Lepisosteus oculatus: one gene and its partner. The protein of the gene in region 1 purifies or fractionates together with the protein of each later gene. This does not show direct contact. Links are inferred from orthologs where the notes say so. Each region holds a gene or a part of one and is shown on either strand. Other genes may lie near its edges. The genes, in order: usp25 and kctd10.

The links.
Region 2: the proteins of usp25 (region 1) and kctd10 purify together in Homo sapiens (affinity purification with mass spectrometry; 4 studies listed by BioGRID and IntAct, counting the BioPlex papers as one, with this or other methods). This does not show direct contact. The link is inferred for Lepisosteus oculatus from reciprocal best matches to the Homo sapiens genes USP25 and KCTD10.

The regions. Positions count from the first base shown.
Region 1 is NC_090700.1:252,223-262,358, reverse strand, and holds the start of usp25 (ubiquitin carboxyl-terminal hydrolase 25), read left to right. Parts: upstream 1-6,347; 5' UTR 6,348-6,528; coding exon 6,529-6,570; exon of another isoform or gene 6,571-6,718; intron 6,719-9,579; exon of another isoform or gene 9,580-9,721; intron 9,722-10,136. Other genes in the region: arsenite methyltransferase, read left to right, coding at 1-14, 897-978, 1,682-1,813, 3,422-3,564, 4,276-4,398, 5,387-5,491. UniProt on the Homo sapiens protein: Deubiquitinating enzyme that hydrolyzes ubiquitin moieties conjugated to substrates and thus, functions in various biological processes including inflammation and immune response.
Region 2 is NC_090717.1:5,984,339-5,994,254, forward strand, and holds the start of kctd10 (BTB/POZ domain-containing adapter for CUL3-mediated RhoA degradation protein 3), read left to right. Parts: upstream 1-5,546; 5' UTR 5,547-5,646; coding exon 5,647-5,649; intron 5,650-6,574; coding exon 6,575-6,788; intron 6,789-7,903; coding exon 7,904-8,073; intron 8,074-8,220; coding exon 8,221-8,307; intron 8,308-9,091; coding exon 9,092-9,144; intron 9,145-9,262; coding exon 9,263-9,458; intron 9,459-9,916. Other genes in the region: ube3b (ubiquitin-protein ligase E3B), read right to left, coding at 223-328, 450-532, 642-727, 1,035-1,131, 1,498-1,602, 1,820-1,879, 2,171-2,291, 2,481-2,641. UniProt on the Homo sapiens protein: Substrate-specific adapter of a BCR (BTB-CUL3-RBX1) E3 ubiquitin-protein ligase complex. The BCR(BACURD3) E3 ubiquitin ligase complex mediates the ubiquitination of target proteins, leading to their degradation by the proteasome.

The DNA of each region.
Region 1 (10,136 bases):
ACAGAGTTCTCAAGGTAGGCCCTTTCTGTCCAGTGGAATTCATGTAAACCTTAGATTTAAAATCGACAGTCGTTGTGAAACTTGGCGATTTATTTTAAGTATCTTGAAAGAGCTCAGCAATTAGGGACATGTGTTCAGAGTGCAAGTTGAGCCCTACAGCCCAGAAATTACACGCCCATGCCTGTCTGTGACAGGACCTACCCCGCGATTGAAGGGAGCACTCCTCACCTACTAGTGGGCGCGCTAGTCCTCTTGGTGGGGGGGCTGTCCGATCCTGTGAACGGGCAGTACCTGCTCCCTCTGAACCCTGGATCCCAGTGCTGCTGTGAGCAGGATTCGACTGGTGAATCCAAGCACATGTAGGAGCTGTGACATTTCAGAGCTGGGAGGTGACTGCATCACATGAAACCAACCTTCAGGTCTTTCTTTGTTTCTTATGGGGTCTGATTTTCTATGGACCTTTTGTAAAGAAAGCAAAAAGCCCAGAGTAAAGCTGGACCTTATGAGACAGGAGCACTTATTTTTCCCTCATTAGTTCGCAGGCCAGGCGGACAGTATTCTTTGTCTTCCTGTACATTCCCTTTGTTGAATGAATGTTGAACTCCTATTGTAAGGTGTAAGGACTGTGATTAGCAGGAAGCAGTAATGGGTTCAGCTGGTATTGCCGCATGAAGGTGCACATATCTGTGTACATGGGATGTTGGAGCTCCTCACTGCTGCTCCTGGAAAGCCCATAATGCCCTTCCCATCCAGCACTGTATGACTGCATTAGTGCCCATCAAACATAACATGAGATCAGAGCTCTTACCATACTTAGTCAGAGTAGAAGTTACTTATGAAGTCGTATTGCTCTCATGCACTATATAATGGCTAAAAAATAATTCCTTCTGTTGCAGGAAGGGGGCGAACTGTACTTCAGTGACATGTATGCTAGCAAGACTGTTCCTGAAAATGTAAAGCAAGATGAAGTTCTTTGGGGTAAACGTACCATTTGAATGATTACAAATCAGTCTATTTTAATTCACAGGTACTGAATAATTCATCTGTTCATATCTATTACTGGAAATCATTTAGTTATTAGTCATTTAAATTAATGACTAATAATTCAAAGATTGAATTTTTAAAAATGCACTTTCCCTCTATCAGCTGGTACATTTATTTCAATAACTATCACCCAGGTTTTTCTCAAGGAGACGACAATCTATAAACCCTTCAGACTCCTATTCCTTCGATCCTCTAAACACAACTTCTGATATATTTATATACAGTATGTATACATGTAAAGATGCATATCTGTAGCTTTCTGATGTTTTTTTTTTAACATCCAAATTAACACACAAGGGCTGGTGGGGAATTTTTTACATTAAGTTTGTAGGCTTCTTGTAGATGCCTGAAATTCATAGTACTTTCACTCCTGTATCTGACTTAGCAGTTTACTGAGGCTGTCCTTGAGAAGGTGCTCTGTAAAATAAAAATGTGAATGAAATTTTAAACACCTTATGGAGAATTGGAATTCTTGCTGCAGAAACATCTCCAGTCAATTTGTTTTGAATTTCCGATATGAGAAATGATCCATAAATGAAGCGGGATGAGGAGTTTCTCGGCTGTAGTTGCTGTCAGCATTTCTCAGTAAATCAGTGGTCGGGGGCGGATAATCACTGGTGTGTTTGATTTGTCGCAGGGGAAGGCCTGGGTGGCTCCCTGTACTGGATGGACCTGATATCACTGGTGAAGGATATAGGCTTCAGCAGACCCTACCTTGTTGCTGCCAGCCACATTGTCATACGTAACCGTGAACTCTTGGAAAAAACGGGTAAGTAGGAATTGGAACACGCGCAAGGCTGAAGGACCTGATCCCGACTTGGTCCCGACATCACCCTCTACAACTGGATTTGGGACTTTCTGGCAGGCAGACCTCAGGCTGTCAGGCTTGGAAACCACACCTCTGGCACACTACTCTGAACACTGGGATCCCCCAGGGTTGTGTGCTTAGTCCATTGCTCTACACCCACGACTGTAAGGCCAAACACAACACCAACTCCATCATCAAGTTTGCCGATGACACCACAGTTGGAGGTCTGATCACAGACAATGATGAGAGGGCCTTCCAGGAGGAGGTCCTTACAACATGGTGTGAAGACAACCTCACCCTCAACGTCGGCAAAACCAAGGAGCTGATCATTGATTTCAGAAACTGCAAAACGGACATGCCCCTATCCACATCAATGGGACTGAAGTGGAAAGTGTCAGTAACTTCAAATTCCTTGGCGTCCATATCACTGAGGACCTCACATGGTCTCTCAATGCCACCTGTCTGATCGAGAAAACGCAACAGCACCTGTACTTCCAAAGACAGTTGAAGAAGGTTAAGATATGTCCCCAGATCCTCACTAACTTTTACAGGTGCACTACAGAAAGCACACTGACAGGTTGTATCACAGTGTGGTACGGCAACTGCAGTATTGCTGACCGCAAAGCCTTACAGCTGGTGCCCAGTCCATCACTGGGGTTGCCCTCCCATTCATACAGGACATAAATGACAGACGGTGCTTGAGGAAAGCTCTAAGCATCATCAAAGACCCCATACGCCCCAGCTACAGACTGAGCCTCTACCATCTGGAAAACGGTACCAGAGCATTCAGGCCTGGACTACCAGACTCGGAGACCGTTTTTACCCCCGCACTATCAAACTATTAAACTCCCAGCCTCTCTCACCTACGATCTGGTAAGAGAGAAGGCACTGTAGGTTCAAACACCTTGAAATCTACCCCTACCTCACTTCAAGTAGCTCACTCCCCATAATTTTCTATCCTTTATTTCATTATGTTGATATTATAATATCTCATTATGATTTTGCACACTGCCTGTTGTCTCGGTCTTTCTTTTCTTATACAATTGTATTGTTGTTTTTTGTATTACTTATTGTCTGAGAGCTAGCTAAATAGCATTTAATTAAACCATATACCTGTATATGAGTATAATGACAATGAACTTGAACAGGCTCATTGCACGACATTGGTGTTATGAAATTAGTCTTCCTCAAAAGGTGCTGTTATGTAACCAGTGGGGCATTTAAAAGACCCAGTTTTGAATATTCTACAGTGTGTTTGTTAGTGGTTTTCCTGGAGCTTTCCTTCATGGGCTGTGCCACACTCAGCCACTAGAAACTATGAGCTGGAAAAGGCAAAGAAAAAGCAACAGGCAGAGGTTTGGTCCATATGTTCCTGTTTAACCATCCAGATGGGGGGTTCTGTTTTTCCATTTTTAAATAGAACAAATTATTTCTGCTGAAAATTTACACTTTATTCCATGGAAGTGACAAATTTTGGCTCTCTGTTACACTAATGCCAGAAATTACATAATTGATTTGAGTGCTAATTTACTTACTTTTACAGTATTAAATGTTTTTTTTATTGCTTAGGTGATATTACATATGCATCTGGGACATACCGTGTCTTTAAATTGCCAAAAAACAGAACTAATGGAAATGCCATCATGACATACCAAGGGACCGTGTCTGACCATCCTGACCAGCTGGTGTTTGATGCTTCTCACACCTTTAAGGTATGCATGTTCTCCAGAAATTCTGCCTTGAGTGCAGACACGTTTCTGAGTTAAACATCTGATCAGATTAGAATGGGAAACAATGTGTATCCCTCCATTAAGATTGTAATGAAAAGAAAACAATAAGCAGTGTCCACTCCTCTTTGACATTGTTGGGTTGTGCAACTATGGAACAAGCTACCCAGCCTTGTTGTTAAAACTGATAACCCTGGCTTCTTTCAAGAAACAATTGGATAAGATCCTGGGATCAAGTAACTACTAACTTCAAAATGGATTAGATGGGCCTCCTCTTGTTTTAACCAATTTGCCATGATTTACTGTTCCAGTAAACTGGTAAATAATCCATTAAGGCAAGTGTAAAGCATGGTGCAGCATGTTTCACTGATTTGGTGATGCACAGTGATAACCTAGAATAAAATTTTCTGTGGTATTTGGAAATTATTTTTTCATTCTTAAAATCTGTTCAGTGAGATTTGAGGTAGCGAGTTTTAGTGCAGAGTTCCTTGTCAGTAACTACTGAAAGAAGTGAGCTGTCCTGCCTATAGCTGTGACTGGTCTGACTGCCTTGTTGCTGATATGATACCACTGAAACTGGATAGCTGATCTTATGAAATTAACATTTGCTCGTATTTGTTTCCATGCAGGGTTAGTTCAGCTCTATAGCAGAGCTATGTTCTGTTTGATACCGTAGTGAGAGCATTTTGTCTCCAGAAAGGTGTAGCTGTTGAGGTGGATGCCGAGACGGCTTCTGTTCTCCAGTACTCCCGCTTTTCATCTGACTTTTCCATTCTGAACGCTGATGCTCCTCTGACCGTCCAGGAGATTTCACCTCCGGTGAGGACATTTCCTTGCAGAGCCTGGGGAAATGCAGCCTAATGCCAGTGTTTCATGTGAAACATTGGCTCATTGTGATAGGTGCATTTTATGTCATTAGAGATTCTTCTGTTTGAATTTAGTAGTCTCTGTCAAATCCCCCTGTGTTACACAAACATAGTATGCATGTCTGAAATCCTGAAAAGTCTCTTGACCATTGTGCCTACAGTATATTCATATTTTATTATTTTTTAATTCTTCAGCCAAATCTCCTGGTAATTGCTGTGCTACAGCTTGTAGCCTAATTTCCACCTCACAGAAACTACTGTTCAGGCTCAAGCCTACACAAGCACCTTCAATCAGAAGGTCACACCACACTTTTTAGCAACCGATTCGGCACATCTTGCAGCCCACTGCCACTGTGCTACATGAGGCAACCCACACAACTTGCATATCCCCTGCTGAACACTCATGTAATGTAGAAATCTTTTTAGTGTGTGGTTTGAGTGATATGAATGACCACCTACTATTTGTTTTTCACAGTTGGAATGTAAAAGGCAGTCAAACCACATCCAAAATTCAACTGTAAACCAGTTTTGAACTGCTCTCATCTAAATGAGAAATGAATGTGGGTCTGTCTCCAGGACTCTGAAGTATGACAGGTGGCCCAGTATTTTTAAGATAATTTATACTAAACCTGTAATACATTTGTGTGCTTTTATGTTCCACTTTTATACTTAAACTACATTTGATGTTGATTCTTTAATACAGAATTAGATGAGGCTCCTAGTTTACTGGGAAATTAAGATGTACTGTGTTTTTTAAATGTTTTGTTCACAATATTAGTTGTTTCTGGAACCCATGATCCCAGATAAGAATTATTTTAATAATCTATTGCTTAAGTGAATCATTGAAATCTTTGAGGTCCCCTGTTTTTATTTTCTTAAAGCCACCATGCCTCCACTCTTAAAGTCTTAAAGACTTTTAAAGTCTCTTCTTTTTTTTTCAGTATTCCCACCTCAACCCTTTCCTGCTTGCTGACCGGCTGGGCGCGTCCATGCTGCAGTGTTCCAAATCCAGGGCCAGAGTGGCCTGTGAAGCAGCAGTGAACTAGCAGGAGGTCTGCAGAAAGCCCTGGGAGGCAGGAGGGGCAGTGCTCTGTCCAGTTACCCTAGTCACAGCTCCCATACTTATCTCTTTGACAATTTCAGCTTTGGTACTCTTTCTGAAGATTTCTGAGGCGTGTTTTTTCCTTGATATAGTGCCTTTTCCTTCCCGACAGTGATCTTTACACCAAAGTATTAACAGAACTGTTTGCTTTAGACTGAAGAGGCAAAACTGGAGCCTAATACAACCTGCTCACGGGCTGCACTGTCCAGCTGCAGTTTTAATAAAATCCATGATAGCAACTCAGCCTTTCTTTTCTGTTTGGAAGGAGTGGAAGGGAAATGTGGCTGAATGTTGTTACGAAGAAAAACCGAACTCTGAGAAACAACCTACATTAAACAGGTTCAAAAAGTGTTCTGTTTCTTTCTTCGTGGTGAGGAATCTGAGAAGGTATTCAACTTCACAAGAGTATATTTTATTTGGCATAGCAGTTTGGTAATCATTAAAAAAAAACATTCATTTTCTACTCGTCCATAAAACTGAAGATTGCTTCGTCTGCTGTAGAGGTGTTTTTGTCTTTTTTACTCTTACAATGTTTGCCCCACTGTTAACCACACAAACTCTTGGCTAAGGCATTATTTTTACAGACCCCAACATATGTTTAGATATTAAATGAATCCTAATTGCACGGATCATGCAATCACTTAAATAGAGGTTACTCCATTCATCACGCTTCCCGGGTACGGAGGTTTAGCTAAATTCTCACTTCTGTACATTACATTTCAAAAACTGACACACGCACCACGGGGTCGCTGACGCCATGTTTGTGGGCCTGTCTGATTATACGTCATTGCAGCCAGTCAAGGCCAAACTAGCTGATCTCAGAGAGCCTGGGTGTCGATGGGCTTGTGTTGACTTTTCTCCTACCTTGCCAATGGCTCCCGCTAGTGCGCTGATAAACAGGGGGACATCTTAGTTATATGTTTTTTTTTTCAATTTCTTGCCATTTTCCTGTTAAGTTTGGTTTGGTTGTGTGTGCCGGCCATGACCGTGGAGCAGAATGTCCTGCAGCAGCACTCTCAGAAGGTAGGGTGGGTGTTGGGGAGCTGCTGCCGAGAAGCGCCGCGGCTGTGGCTCAGTGCCCGGCAGGGTGGACGGTCTCCGGCGCCGCTGCCAGTCGAGTCTCCGGCTTCTCCAGGACAGCGCTTCCACGCTGCCTGAGCGAGCTGTAACACTGGAGAAAATATTACTTTGGCGCTAGGCGGGGTTATTCGACGTCGAGGATTCATTAGCTTTGCCTTCATCGTTTTTAAAGCCGTGCAATTTGCTGCATTCCTAAAGCAAATAACCCAGTTACCCTAAAATATACCTAGGAAGTGAGCATAGTCGTAATCGCTACACTTTATCTTAAAATGCTCGGATGGATCTTGCGTTTCATCGATAATTTGACGAATAACTAACACGAGCCAGAGCCAGGGCCAGATGGCTTGTTTTCGGTTTTTTTTTTTAGTTACTATCGTTTAAGTATCGTTTTCTTATCTCCTCCTATAATTCTATTTAACAACCCGGATCTGAAGAGAGGTGTTGAAAAGTGACTGTTGTTGTTTGTGTAGTCGGGATATAAATGTGATGTATTGATCACAAACGTGCAGAAAACCGTCTTTTTAGTTGTGTGTAGCAATCGTAATGGAGATCTCCTGTAGTTTGTGCGTGTCCTCAGTACTGTATAGTTACTGATGGTAATAGTAGCATGCCTGGCGTTTGATTATTAAATAGTGATGTTTCATTGTAACTCCTCGGCATTCGAAACAGATTTTACAATAAAGCCCGGTAGAGATCAAGAAGTTAAGCTTGTAAACGCAACTGTCTGGGATTGAGCCCGCAATTAGTTACATAACTCTTCCAGCCTTCACTGCCCTGCTGTGATTTCTGAACTGTAGTACCCGAGCAAGCGTGTGCAGATTCCTTTACTCCTGGTTTCCATTTCTATATAGTTAATGCACAGCGTTTGGTGCATTTGTTAGATTTATTACTAATATCTGTCTATGTTAGCTTAATATATTCCTGAAGGGGATTGGTGTTGTGTTAAATGTATAGTATTAAAGTGAAAATATTATTGTATTTGCTTCAGTAGAACAACAAGCAAGGGGCAAAGCAAAATAGCCAAATGGGCTCCCAGAATTGATAATTATGTTCTGGAGCAAGAGGCACTGTGGGCTAAGTACTGTTTAATGTTTCCTACGTATTACAGACACAAGCCACAGGGACAAGACGAGAGGGAGTGGTATAGGATTTCTGTGTTCATTGGAAACCTAGAATCTTGTGGTTTTCTATTCTAGCTGGATTCTTGATTTGGGTCAGTTGCTTAAGCCCTTTATTAATAAAATCACGGTTTAATTAAGCCTTTTTTTAAAGGTTTTTAAATTTAAATCTATACAGTGGGCTATTTAACTACAGAAGTGGAAAGAAAACATAAAAGAAAGCTATAACCATGTACAGGGATTATTCTTTAACCAGCAGCCTCCTGCGAGAAGATCCATATATATTGTGTGTCTGAGAAGTCTTTTTGGCTACACTTTAACATAAATCTCAGAAAGTCTGTTCTGTAGTTCATTTAACTTTTGTGAGTATGCAAATTGATATAGGATACTTTTTTCGCATGCAGGTGGTAGTGCACAGAACCAAGACACTGCAGAATCAGAAACCAAAAGTATTACCACAAGCAGAAACAACTGAATTTCAGTCCTTAGTTGATTCAAATCAAGCGTAGCTCACTTTAAAGTATGTGGTATGGTAGAAGACATCTTGCTTTAAGTTGAATGAATAGTTGTATATACAGACTATGGAGAAATGACACTGATATGGGTTTACATTTTCTGCTGCATGGATAATTGTTCTTCACCTTCTTCACCTTGTAAAAAATAAAAAGGTAAGCTAAACAAAAATGAGCTCCTCTGACATGGTCAAGCCAAGTTCACTTTAAGACTGTGATGTGTACAGAGTTGGCTCCACTGGTACTATATCTAGGTCGAATGTGGAAATAACATTGACTCATTGACTTTACGAATCATTAAAGTCATTAACTATTTAGAGAGGTTACAAACAATGGCCCATCTAGCCTCTTTGGTGGTTTGGAACTAATTGATCCAAGCTGATCCAGATGTTTTTTAAAGAAGCCAGGGTATCTGCTTCAACAGCATGGCTGGGGAGGCTGTCCCATGGTCTCAGAAAATTGCCTGCTTTTCCTGGGTTCAGATGCACCTTCATGTAGCTTCCACATGTGTCCTCTGGTTTGTGTTTCACTGTTGATTCAGTGTTAATATGCTGTCATTTTAACCTTATCAGAAGAATGCATATTCTTGGTAAGGATCATGTTAATTCAGTCTATACCCCAGAACTGTAGGGCGCAAGGTAGGACTATATCCTACGAGGCTGCAGTGCTGCTATGTTTCGTACTGAAGCAGATGAAGACCAAGAGTAATACGAACTGACCATTTCTGCACAATTTTTGACAACTGCCACTAAAGACCAAGACTTAACAATAGTAAAAGACTTTTAAAACAAATTTCAGTAGTTTATTCTGTTAATGTTGTATTTATTTTTCTCCAATACAATAGTTGTTGAGACTTCAACCATGCACAGTCGAAACAGTCTGAATGGAGGATGCTATAGTCGCTGCAATAGCTCATTAGTTTGGTCATTTTAGGCCATTACTCTGACCACATTGATTCAGTCAGTTTTTTTTGGCAGTTGTTGTAAGAAGTACTCATTAATGCTTTTAACAGGTTTTGTGTTTTCCTGAATATCTTCACATATACTATGCACAGTACATCTCGGTGACATGCATTTATTTTTAAGGTGTTCAAAGTTTTCTAGTTATGCAGCAAAGAATGACCACTGAGCTGTTTTAACAGTAACATTCCCGTAACATTGTTTTTCTGTGACATTAGCCACTGTTTTGGTTGCTTAATATACCGTGGAGCACATTACGTTTCCATAATTTTTGTTTCCAATTCAGAAGTATTGATATGAGAATTTAGTGCTCTTAAACCAGCATAGCTCACTAGATTTATAGAATGAGATGCAGCTCCTTACATGTTCTGCTTTTGCTGAGGCTTCTCTGAGCAGCAGAAGTTTAGTTCTGGTGTCCGCTGGCACTCTTGTCTAGAAATGCTATTTTGGATGGGCAGTTGTAAGAGCAGTGTTACATGTTGAGTGTTGGTTACAGTCTTGTGAGTCAGCACCACAGCATCCCTCAAATCATGTGACTAGTAAGAGGGCTTATTCTCAGCTTGTGCTTGGCTGGTACAGTCTTTACGTTGCACTAAAGATATTGTCCGGGGTGTGTCCTGCCTTGCATCCATGCTTGCTGGGATGGGCTCTGGATCCTCTCCGACCCTGTAGTAAACAAAGTGATTAGAAAATGGGTGGATGTAAAAGATATTTTTTATGTTCTATCTGTGCTCTATCTATTTGCCTGTCTTGCACACTCTTTGCTTATTTTCAAATTAGCATATTATTATTGAGAGTTTCAGAGACCATAGGGAGGAAATCAGTGTCAAAGTATCTCAGTCCTACTTTAATTTATTTCCTTCATAAAAAAGCAATTAATTAGTAATCTAGACTTAATACAACACACTATTTAAGCTGAA
Region 2 (9,916 bases), on another chromosome or scaffold:
CATTTGAAGACTGGTGCCAGTCATTGTTTAACTGCTGACTGCCTTTATACCTATTCTAGTCCATCAAAGATCACAATCCAACACAATTCTCTAGGTTACTTTAATCCTAAATCAAGATCTGTAAAGAAAAATTTACATTCATGTACTTAAGATGTTGATGACCTGAAGGACTAGAGTTGGGAACCCAATCCCAAAAAATAAAACAAATACTTGAGTGTTTACCTCCGGGGTTAGACTGTTAAGGTGAAAGATGATAGCTGGTACAGACATGATGTGAATCAGGAAAGACCTCAAGAGGTTATCAGAGAAATGTGCAGCAACAACAGGCCTGCAAACAAAAGGAGAAACACATTACAGATGACGTGTCAAAAGCAACCACATCAGCACACATCCTTTAATGACAATAATGAATAAAAGTATAAAATTCAAATGACAACTGACACAAATACCTTAATGCCAGTGTAAATACGGCTGTTAGGGATCCTTTAGAAAGAGAGGGTCTGGCCCTTGCTAATCCGTTTGTTAATAAAATCTAGAAGAAATATGAAAAGAAACAAGATTGTCAGTCTACATTACAATTACACTATATCCGGTTTTATTTTTCATATTTGAATGCATTACATTTAAGAACTTTAAGCTACCTGCAAGACAGTATAAAAGCCCTTCTGATTGAGATGCCCCATGATGTTCTCACAAATACGGTTTAGAGCAGGCCGAAGAGCTTCCCCTGCAAGAAGAGGTACATCACTTAAAGCCAGGGACAGTGTGTGTTACCCTCTTATGCATGCATTAAAAAGATAATCTGACAAAACTATGAACGGGAAAGTTCTAGCAAACTTTAAAATATCAGAAATACACAGAGAATATGTCTGAGAGAAAACGTCTGCAAACCGATCTGCTGACACAAGAAGTCTACAACATCTTTATAGGACAAAAATCCTACAGTTACAGGACTGTAAATGTAGGATTTTATTCTGAAAACAACTGCAGACATTACGGGAAACATCCCAGATCCTGAAATGCCCAACACTCACCCTTCCCTCTCACATTCTTCCAGTTGGATGTGTCTGTGAAAGTCACTAGCATAGTGAGGTACAGAGTCACCATTTTGTTGTCTTGAAGGATATCAGGCTGAAAGAAAGATCAAACAAATCAACCAAATACCCTCATAAAATGCTAACCAACACCTTTTTGTTTTACCAAACCACGGACGGTGTAGGCTAATTCACTTCTTCCATGTCAAGCAAATAGCACAGTATAAGTATTTACAAATGTTTTCAAAGAATGTTAGTGAATTTGTTATGATTCACATGTCTAAGACAAGTTTCAAACGTGAATATGACAACACCAAATTGGATATTTCTCACCAGTGCTAGTTATTTTGTTGATGCTATAATTAAATTTCTCAAATGTTTGTAATCTTATGCAAAAAAAAATAGTTCTGACAGCAGAAGGGATTATGATTTACAGGATTTTAATTGAGGAAAACCTACTGACCTTTAGCTTCTTCAGGAACTCACAGGACACCCACAGGATATCTTTTATCTGCTTGATCCATTGGATGGTGAGGTCTTTTGAAAGAGCTAAGGACACATACCAAACCTATGGACATACAGAACACTGAATTTAAAATGTCAACATCAGTCAGGAACATGAAATAATCCAGAATAAGAGATCTGGAATACAGAATGTGTACATTAAAAACAGAGAATGTTTAAAAATGAAATTAACATTGCAAAATGTGTTTTTTTAGTTGAGTAAAAAGAAAAAAAAAACAGGTCCAGGGAAACTATTATCAGGAAAAATTAGAAATGTTTACCTTGGGTTCGTTTTCAACTTCCATACTCCCAAGTATACAGCGACACAATTTCTCAAATCTCTAGATAAAAATAAAACGAAGCCAAACAATCAAAACATGATGACTTATAGGACAAACATTTCAACTGACTGCAAAACACTGTGAATACATACCACATTTCCACCACTTCATACAATCCAGACGTTAAATGAAACATTAAACACAAGGAAAACTGACATCATGAGACTACACAAAAATCCCAAATCCTCACACACCGTTAAAAAACGACAATAACCTGACAAATTCACTACTAGATTCTCTGCGTTTCTCCGCAAGATGAGAAAAACAAAGTCTAAAAGAGATAACACTCACCACTTTGTCTTCTTTTAAGTTGAATATAAATAATAACTTTCTTGCAATTTTAAAAATGGAAAGTGCATTTCTTTTCCAAGATCCAGTATCACAGGCTTCGAAGAATTCATCTACTTCTTTCCTAGGGAATCAAGAGAGTGAGCAACAGTCTGGTTACCGTACAGCTCATACTGCACATGCTGATATTTTGGGGGGCAGTTAAGTCATTTAAGAAGCAGGGTGATGTACACTTGCTGCAGTGTTCTGACGGACATGACAAGGGGACCCCAGTCTAGCAGTGCCCAACACAGAGAAAGCTTGCTGGACTGACCGTATCTGCTTCTGCAGTTTGCAGCGGCAGAGGAACCTCCTGACAAGGGCCTGGATTTGCGTGGCCGCCTTCTCCCGCTCCTTCTGGCCCTTCCTCTCCTCACGGGCCTGCCGGGCTTTGTCCAGGAACTGGGACTTGGACGACTGAACTGTGCCAAACATCTTTCACCCCTGGGGAAAGACGGGAAAACGGCACTGACAGACTCACAGCAGGTACAACAAATACCTGCCCATTTCATTTCGGCCCTTTCCTTTTTTTATGAATTATTCTTAATGAAGGAAAAAAAAAACTGCATTGACGATAACATCATGTTTCTGAAAAGCAAACTGTTCTTAAGAGTCATTTCATCTTTTTGACAGCAATTACACTGTCTATGCTGATGCAGTACAAACCTCTGTTGTGGTTTACTACTTTCTCAAGACAGCAAAGTGTACTTAGTTTAAGGACTCGGGACACCATTGTACTGACTTGCAGTCAGGCACAAATAACACGAATCCTTCTGGAAACTGCAGTAGAACCCAAATAAGTCCAGCAAAAGCTGATCAGGGTGTTGTCTCAGCAGGTCACTCTGAATAAACCATCTTGACAGAGGAGGCTGACACACAGCAATGCACGAGCTAGCAGGGATGCTGAACCACCAATCACTTATGTGGAAGTAAAAAGTGGAATCGTTCAGCACACCGCCCAGTTTTAGTAGTGAGAGGAGTTGTGTTATCACAAAAGTGCTAACTTAAGTAGACTGAAATTAGGCTAAGGGCACTGACTTGCAAAAAGAGTTGTGTAACTTTACTAATATTCCTTCTATCTCTACAACATCCCCGAAAAAGACTAGAATAAACTGCAAGCCATCATACAGAAAAATATCATTGTTGCTTATACGAATCATGACGCGTTTTACATGGAACATTTATCAAACATTAACAAGACTGTTTTAAAGCCATCACATAGTTAATGGCGTGTAGTACTGCTAAAATACGTAGACAGCAAGCAGAAAGCCACTTTCACATCCATACACTGCAAGGAAACATTTCAATAGGAAGGGCACTGACCTAAGGCGTTTGCTCGTCACAGGAGATTCCCAGTTCATTACAGACACAACAGCATGTGCTAAATTTTCCCTCCAAGGCCCAAAATAGCAAGAGTCCTTCCGGAAACTGCAGTAGAACCCAAATTAGCCCAGCAAAAGCTGATCAGGGTGTCATCTCTGGAAGGTAAAAATAAGTATATACTTTCAATTCCTTTGCGATTCAGCACCACACAAAATACAACATCGCACCTCAGGGTGCGTATAATGTCTTCGGTCGTGTTCCTTCCGAAATAATTATTACTCGCATTTTGAACCCACACAAGTTCAAAAACCTTTTAGCCCTTGGTCCTGACAGCGGGTTGCCTGAACTGTCAAAATGCTGATAAAACCCGTGTATTTACACTTCTAAGAAAATAATACACTACTACTGTGTAACATGAATTCAAAGTTGCCAAGTAACAGCAACTAGAACTGAACCGATGTACCAACATAGAAAACCCGTCCGTTGCCTTTTTCCTGTGCAATATATTTTATATATTGATATAATAAAGCTTAATGGTGTCTACAATCGTACCTATTACTAAATGTTCAATTAATGTTGTTTTCAGACATACTATGTCGCAATTCTTCGCTCTACAAACAACGACAATCATAAACGTGCATTAGTTAGACGATGCGTGAACGCACTCAATCAACAAAATATCAAATGCCATAACCCCTTCAGCTGGGGTAAAAAGATGTAAACAATAAAAACAAAACCCATACACTGAAAGCAGCCATTAATCCTTTCGGTGTTACCACAAAAAACTTCCGGAGGCACAACAACGCTGTTTAATACATCACAAAACATTAAAGATAAAGATCAGAAAATGCAGAGGATCTAAAATCAGTATAATTACAGTCACAAATTTCACGCTATACTGATTTTTTTTGCATTACTCCTTTTAAAATAACGAATTTTCATGCAGCAATGGAACTATTTTTGCATGTGTGGGATTTCTTTCACGGTTACTCCCTCTGCGGGGCGGAGGTGATTTTTAAGCACTCTCTGAGGGGCAAAACAAGCAGCGAAATTATGGACGTTGATATCTAAACTTTTTTTTAACATCTTAACCATGATTCCATATAGCATCCAATCAATATAGGCAAAGGCTTCCACGATGTAAATATTCAGTTGAATTAAAATAATGATTGTGTTTTCGACTTTTAAGTTTCGCAAACGATTGCTGTTTCAGTGCTGGCAGCGAGATCTGGGGTTGGAAAAAAAGTTAAATGTATTGCTTTGGTTAATTACACAGTATTGTCGCAACGTTAAAAAAATCCTTAATGGGATGTATCATAATGTGCAATTACCTTACCGTATACCATATTCTGTTTTTTGTGTGTGCAGATAACACCTTCATTAGAATCAATATAACGGTGTTGTCATAGAGTGCCCAAATAAAAGCGTTAAAACAAATGTGTACAAATGCTTTAAACTCGCCTTAACTTAATACCAACAGTGAACATGAAGCTATATAGCTAAGAATTCTGTTCAGTGCACATAGAAGAGATTCGTCTCAAATGTGTTTTAGATTACCGTGGAAGGACCTGTTCGCTTTTATGTTTTAATTGGTGGATACTGTGACTTGAAAACGAGGTGCTCTTTGGGAGGCGTTTTAAAAACATACGTCCAAGAAAAATGTAAACAAGAAATATTTTGCTCCTTGTACAGTCGGTGTACTAACCACAGCTTAGTGACTGTTTCCTGCCTGAAGCTATCAGATTAATGTAATGATAGGGCAATATGCACAGAGCGAGATGAGTCTATTGTATACGCACTGTTGATTGGTTGGGACTATTGTTTGTTTTTGACGGGTATTTAACGTTGCTTGTTATTTGTTTTACTTACTTTTGTACGGTGATGCCAAAGACAACTTTCTACCCTTTTGAAAGGATAATAAAGTTACGTGTATACTGTACATTATGAATAGAACTCGCCCCTTAGGACGCCCTGACAATCCTCCGATAATTGCATGGTTACGTCATTCCCCCTCCCACGGAGCGTGGAGCCAAACGGAAATACCTCACAGAACCCCCGCCTGTGGGCCGGAAGTGGGTGATTCCTTCTCGTCTGATTTGGGAGTGTTTCTGGGTTCTATGGTAAGAAACAAAGAAGTTTTAACTTCGAAACTATAAATAATCTTGTAGTTTCTCGTGTTGTTTATTAAGCTGCCATTGTGTTTGTAAAGAGCAAAACGCGGAGTTAGCTAAGAAACGTTTTTTTCGCAACGTATTTTTGTTTTTTTTCAAGTAGCGATGAGAAAGGGGATATTTAAACTTCGTAGTTTTTCCGTTCATCACCATTTCATCTCTGTGACAAAGACATCAGGGACTATACGGGAATTATTTATACAGGGTTCTTTAGGATCTGCCTTAAACGTGTTTGTTACTTGAAAATGCATCACCTCTCTTAAGATTGCTCCCAACAGACTTTGGGAGACCTTAAGGAAATGAATTTAGAAAAAGCCACAGTCACAAAAACGCAGTTGAATTAACAAAATCCAGAATGACGAGAACAATGAAGAAACGGCGGAAAGAACCATTCCGTGGTTTAAACGTGGTTTCGATTATAGCGGAATGGTCCGATTTATATAGTTAATTATCTGGCGCTGATTGATACGGGGCTGGGCTATTACTCCCCCTCCCTAACCCACCCCTGTAACATTTAATGAACGTTGGGTGTTTGTTTTTTTAATCCTTAATCCTAAAATATAGTCTTTTGCATGTGGATGGTTGATTTTTATATGCATAGAAAACGTTGAACTCCCGGCTACTGTTCCAGCCTGGAAATCGATCAAATCGTGAATCCACTCGCCAGCTGCGTACTCCAATCCCAGGCTTTCATGGGGGAGGAGGTTGTGTGATTAGTGTAATTTGTAACGTGCAGTTTGCGCCGAGTACGCAAGCTTGTTGGCAGGTACACCTGTAGAAAGGCGTTAAGGCTGCCTCTCCGTGATAACCTGCCTGCGTCACTTCCTGTCCTCAGTACCGTGCCGGTGTTCTCTTCTTGTGCGTCTGCGTGTAGGAAGAGATGTCGGGTGACAGCGTGGTGAGCTCGGCAGTGCCGGCGGCTACAACTAGGACCACGTCCTTCAAGGGCTCCAGCCCCAGCTCCAAGTACGTGAAGCTGAACGTGGGAGGGGCGCTGTACTACACCACCATGCAGACCCTGACCAAGCAGGACACCATGCTGAAGGCCATGTTCAGCGGCAGGATGGAGGTGCTGACGGACAGCGAGGGTACGCAGTCGGCTCCGGCTTGGCATCCCTGCGGGTCTCACTCGCGCCAGCAGGAACACACCGCTGGCACCCGAGCTTGAAGTTGCAATCAGCACACAAGAACACTCAGAGCCTGTACCGCTCAAAACGCTTTGTTGCTAGAGGAATCTTTTTGAAGCTGTAGTGTAGCAGTGATCAGACTCGGTTCCTGGAGAGCCTTGTGTTTTTGTTCCAGCCCGACTTCTTGGTTTCACACTGGGTCTGGTTATTTAACTGCAGTTAAAGTGTAATGTGTTCTCTTAGCTCTGAGGTTAATGTCCCTTTAATTAATAATAATAAATAATAATTCCTTATGCTTATATAGTGCTTTTCTAGAGACTCCACTCAAAGTGCTTTACAGGTGATGGGGAATCACACTACCACCACCAGTGTGCAGCCCCACCTGGATGATGCCACAGCACCAAAGTACACTCTCCCCACACCAGCTCTCAGTAGGGAGGAGAGCAGAGTGATGAAGCCAGTTCAAAGATGGGGATTATTAGGAGGCCATGATTGATAAAGGCCAGGGGGAAATTTGGCCAGGACACTGGGGTAACATCCCTACTCTTTTTGAGAAACACCCTGGACCACAGAAAGTCAGGATCTCGGCTTTACGTCTCATCTGAAGGAGGGGTTATAAATACCCCTGTTTTTTTCATAATCCACCGTAAAAGCCGATAAATGACGTACTGTAGCTGAAGGTGGAAAAGGAATTTGGCCTTTTTAGTATACTCAAAAAAAACTGTGTGAGAGGAAAACTTTAAAAAAAATTAATTGTTAGAGAAATAAAATAAGTGTAATTGAGTGAAATGTAAGCAAAGCCTGCCTAGGATGCCAAGGATGCTAGGATGTGTTGTAACTCATGTATGTAGTCAGACGGGAGTTCATGTGAGTGTATGTCACTGCAAGGCTGCTATTAAATTGGATTTATTGAGTGGATAATTAAGGTTCAGAAAATTAACCGTTATCTGTAGTATTATATCTTGATTATAGATCTAAAAATACATTTACCAGGAGGCCCATATAGTGCATCTGGTTTTGTGCCTGCTTGGTTCCTCTGTGTCTCGACTGCCTCAGCCATCTGTCTCCTCCCACAGGCTGGATCTTGATCGACCGCTGTGGCAAGCACTTCGGGACGATTCTGAACTACCTGCGGGACGGAGCCGTGCCCCTGCCCGAGAGCCGCAGGGAGACGGAGGAGCTGCTGGCTGAAGCCAAGTACTACCTGGTGCAGGGGCTGGCCGATGAGTGCCAGGCCGCTCTCCAGGTGCAAATCCTACCGCCCGCACGTCTGATGCAAAGGGCACTACCGCCCAGCATGTCCACGTCACACCTTTCACGTTGATCTGTGCAAAGTCTGACCCTCGGCGTTGGTTTTTAATCGACACAAATGCCTTTCTGTTTGTCTTTTAAGAACAAAGACACGTATGAACCATTTTGCAAGGTACCGCTCGTAACCTCGTCTAAGGAGGAACAGAGACTCATCGCCACCTCTGACAAGGTAAGGATCACATTAAAACCCAGGGTACTGTTGGACTGATCATCAGAAAAGTTATACTGTGATGAAGCAGTTTCTGGTTTGATAACTCTGCGTCCATCTCTTGTAGTATTATATCTTAGTCTAGTGACCATTAGACAGTTTTAACTCATTCAAAATGCTGCTGATAGAATTTTAACAATGACCAAGAAAACTGAGCATATTACTCCAATTCTAAGATCCTTACACTGGCTTCCAGTTAGTTATAGAATTAATTTCAATGTATTGCTTCTTGTGTATAAATCACTCAATGGTTAGGCTCAAAATATATTTCCAATATGTTTGACCTGGTAGGTCTCTTAAGATCTTTCTGCAATTTTCCTCACGAGATCAGTAAAGTATCTATCTGTCTTTAGGGACTGGTCAGCAAGTGGTGCCTAGAGTTGAAACTGAACGTGGTGAAATGGCACAGCTCCCGAAGGATCTTAGATGTGCCCCAACCTTAGACATTTTTAAATCGAAGTTAAAAATGGTTTTATTATCCTCTGCTTTTGCTTAGTTTTATTGTGGTTTTAATTATTTCTTTTATGATATTCTTTTAATTATTTTTTATTTTATTTCTGTTTTTTATGGTTTCTATGCGTGTAAAGCACTTGGAATTACCCGTGTGTACGAGAATGTGCTATAGAAATCAATTTGCCTTGCCTAGTGATGTGGTGTGTATTTGAGCATAAAAAAAACTGTTGTGAGAATACTAGAAGTCTTAATTCTTACCGTTGCTGTCTTTTGTATTCTCTTCCATCTGCAGCCTACTGTCAAGCTGTTATACAATAGAAGCAACAACAAATATTCTTATACCAGGTAAGAAAGCTGTCTTGGCTGGTGATGGTGGCGGCCGACTCCCCTGACTGGGCCCAGACGAGCGCCCCAGCCTGCCTCGCATCAGTGCCTTAAAACCTTCGCCGTCTGTCGCCTGCAGTAACTCCGACGACAACATGCTGAAGAACATCGAACTGTTCGACAAGCTGTCGCTGCGCTTCAACGGGAGGGTGCTGTTCATCAAGGACGTCATCGGGGACGAGATCTGCTGCTGGTCCTTCTACGGGCAGGGCCGCAAGATCGCGGAGGTGTGCTGCACCTCCATCGTCTACGCCACCGAGAAGAAGCAGACCAAGGTACGGCCGGGGGGCAGCTGTGGCGGACAGCGTGCAGCAGGGGAAGGAGATGTGGGATAGCAGGAGGCATCGTCACTTGATCTTCAGCCGACAGTGGACAGCCTATGAGAAAATGGTGGACACTGTGTGTCATGGAGACTAGACCTGAGAGATCAGAAGTCAATAATAATAATAATAATAATTCCTCACACTTATATAGTGCTTTTCTGGACACTGCACTCAGAGCGCTTTACAGGTAATGGGGATCCCCTCCACCACCACCTGTGTGCCACCCACACCTGGACAATATGGGAAGGCAAAGTGGGGCTGTGGTGGGTTGGTGTGTCAGGGCGATTGAGTGTGATTTTTCAGGGAAGTGTGAAACGGGAGAGCAAAACTTTCCTTTTGCGTTTGTACGTGGTGATTTTCAAGGTGCATTTCTGTTTTCAGCCTGATGGTTACCAGCTCTGTTGAGACCC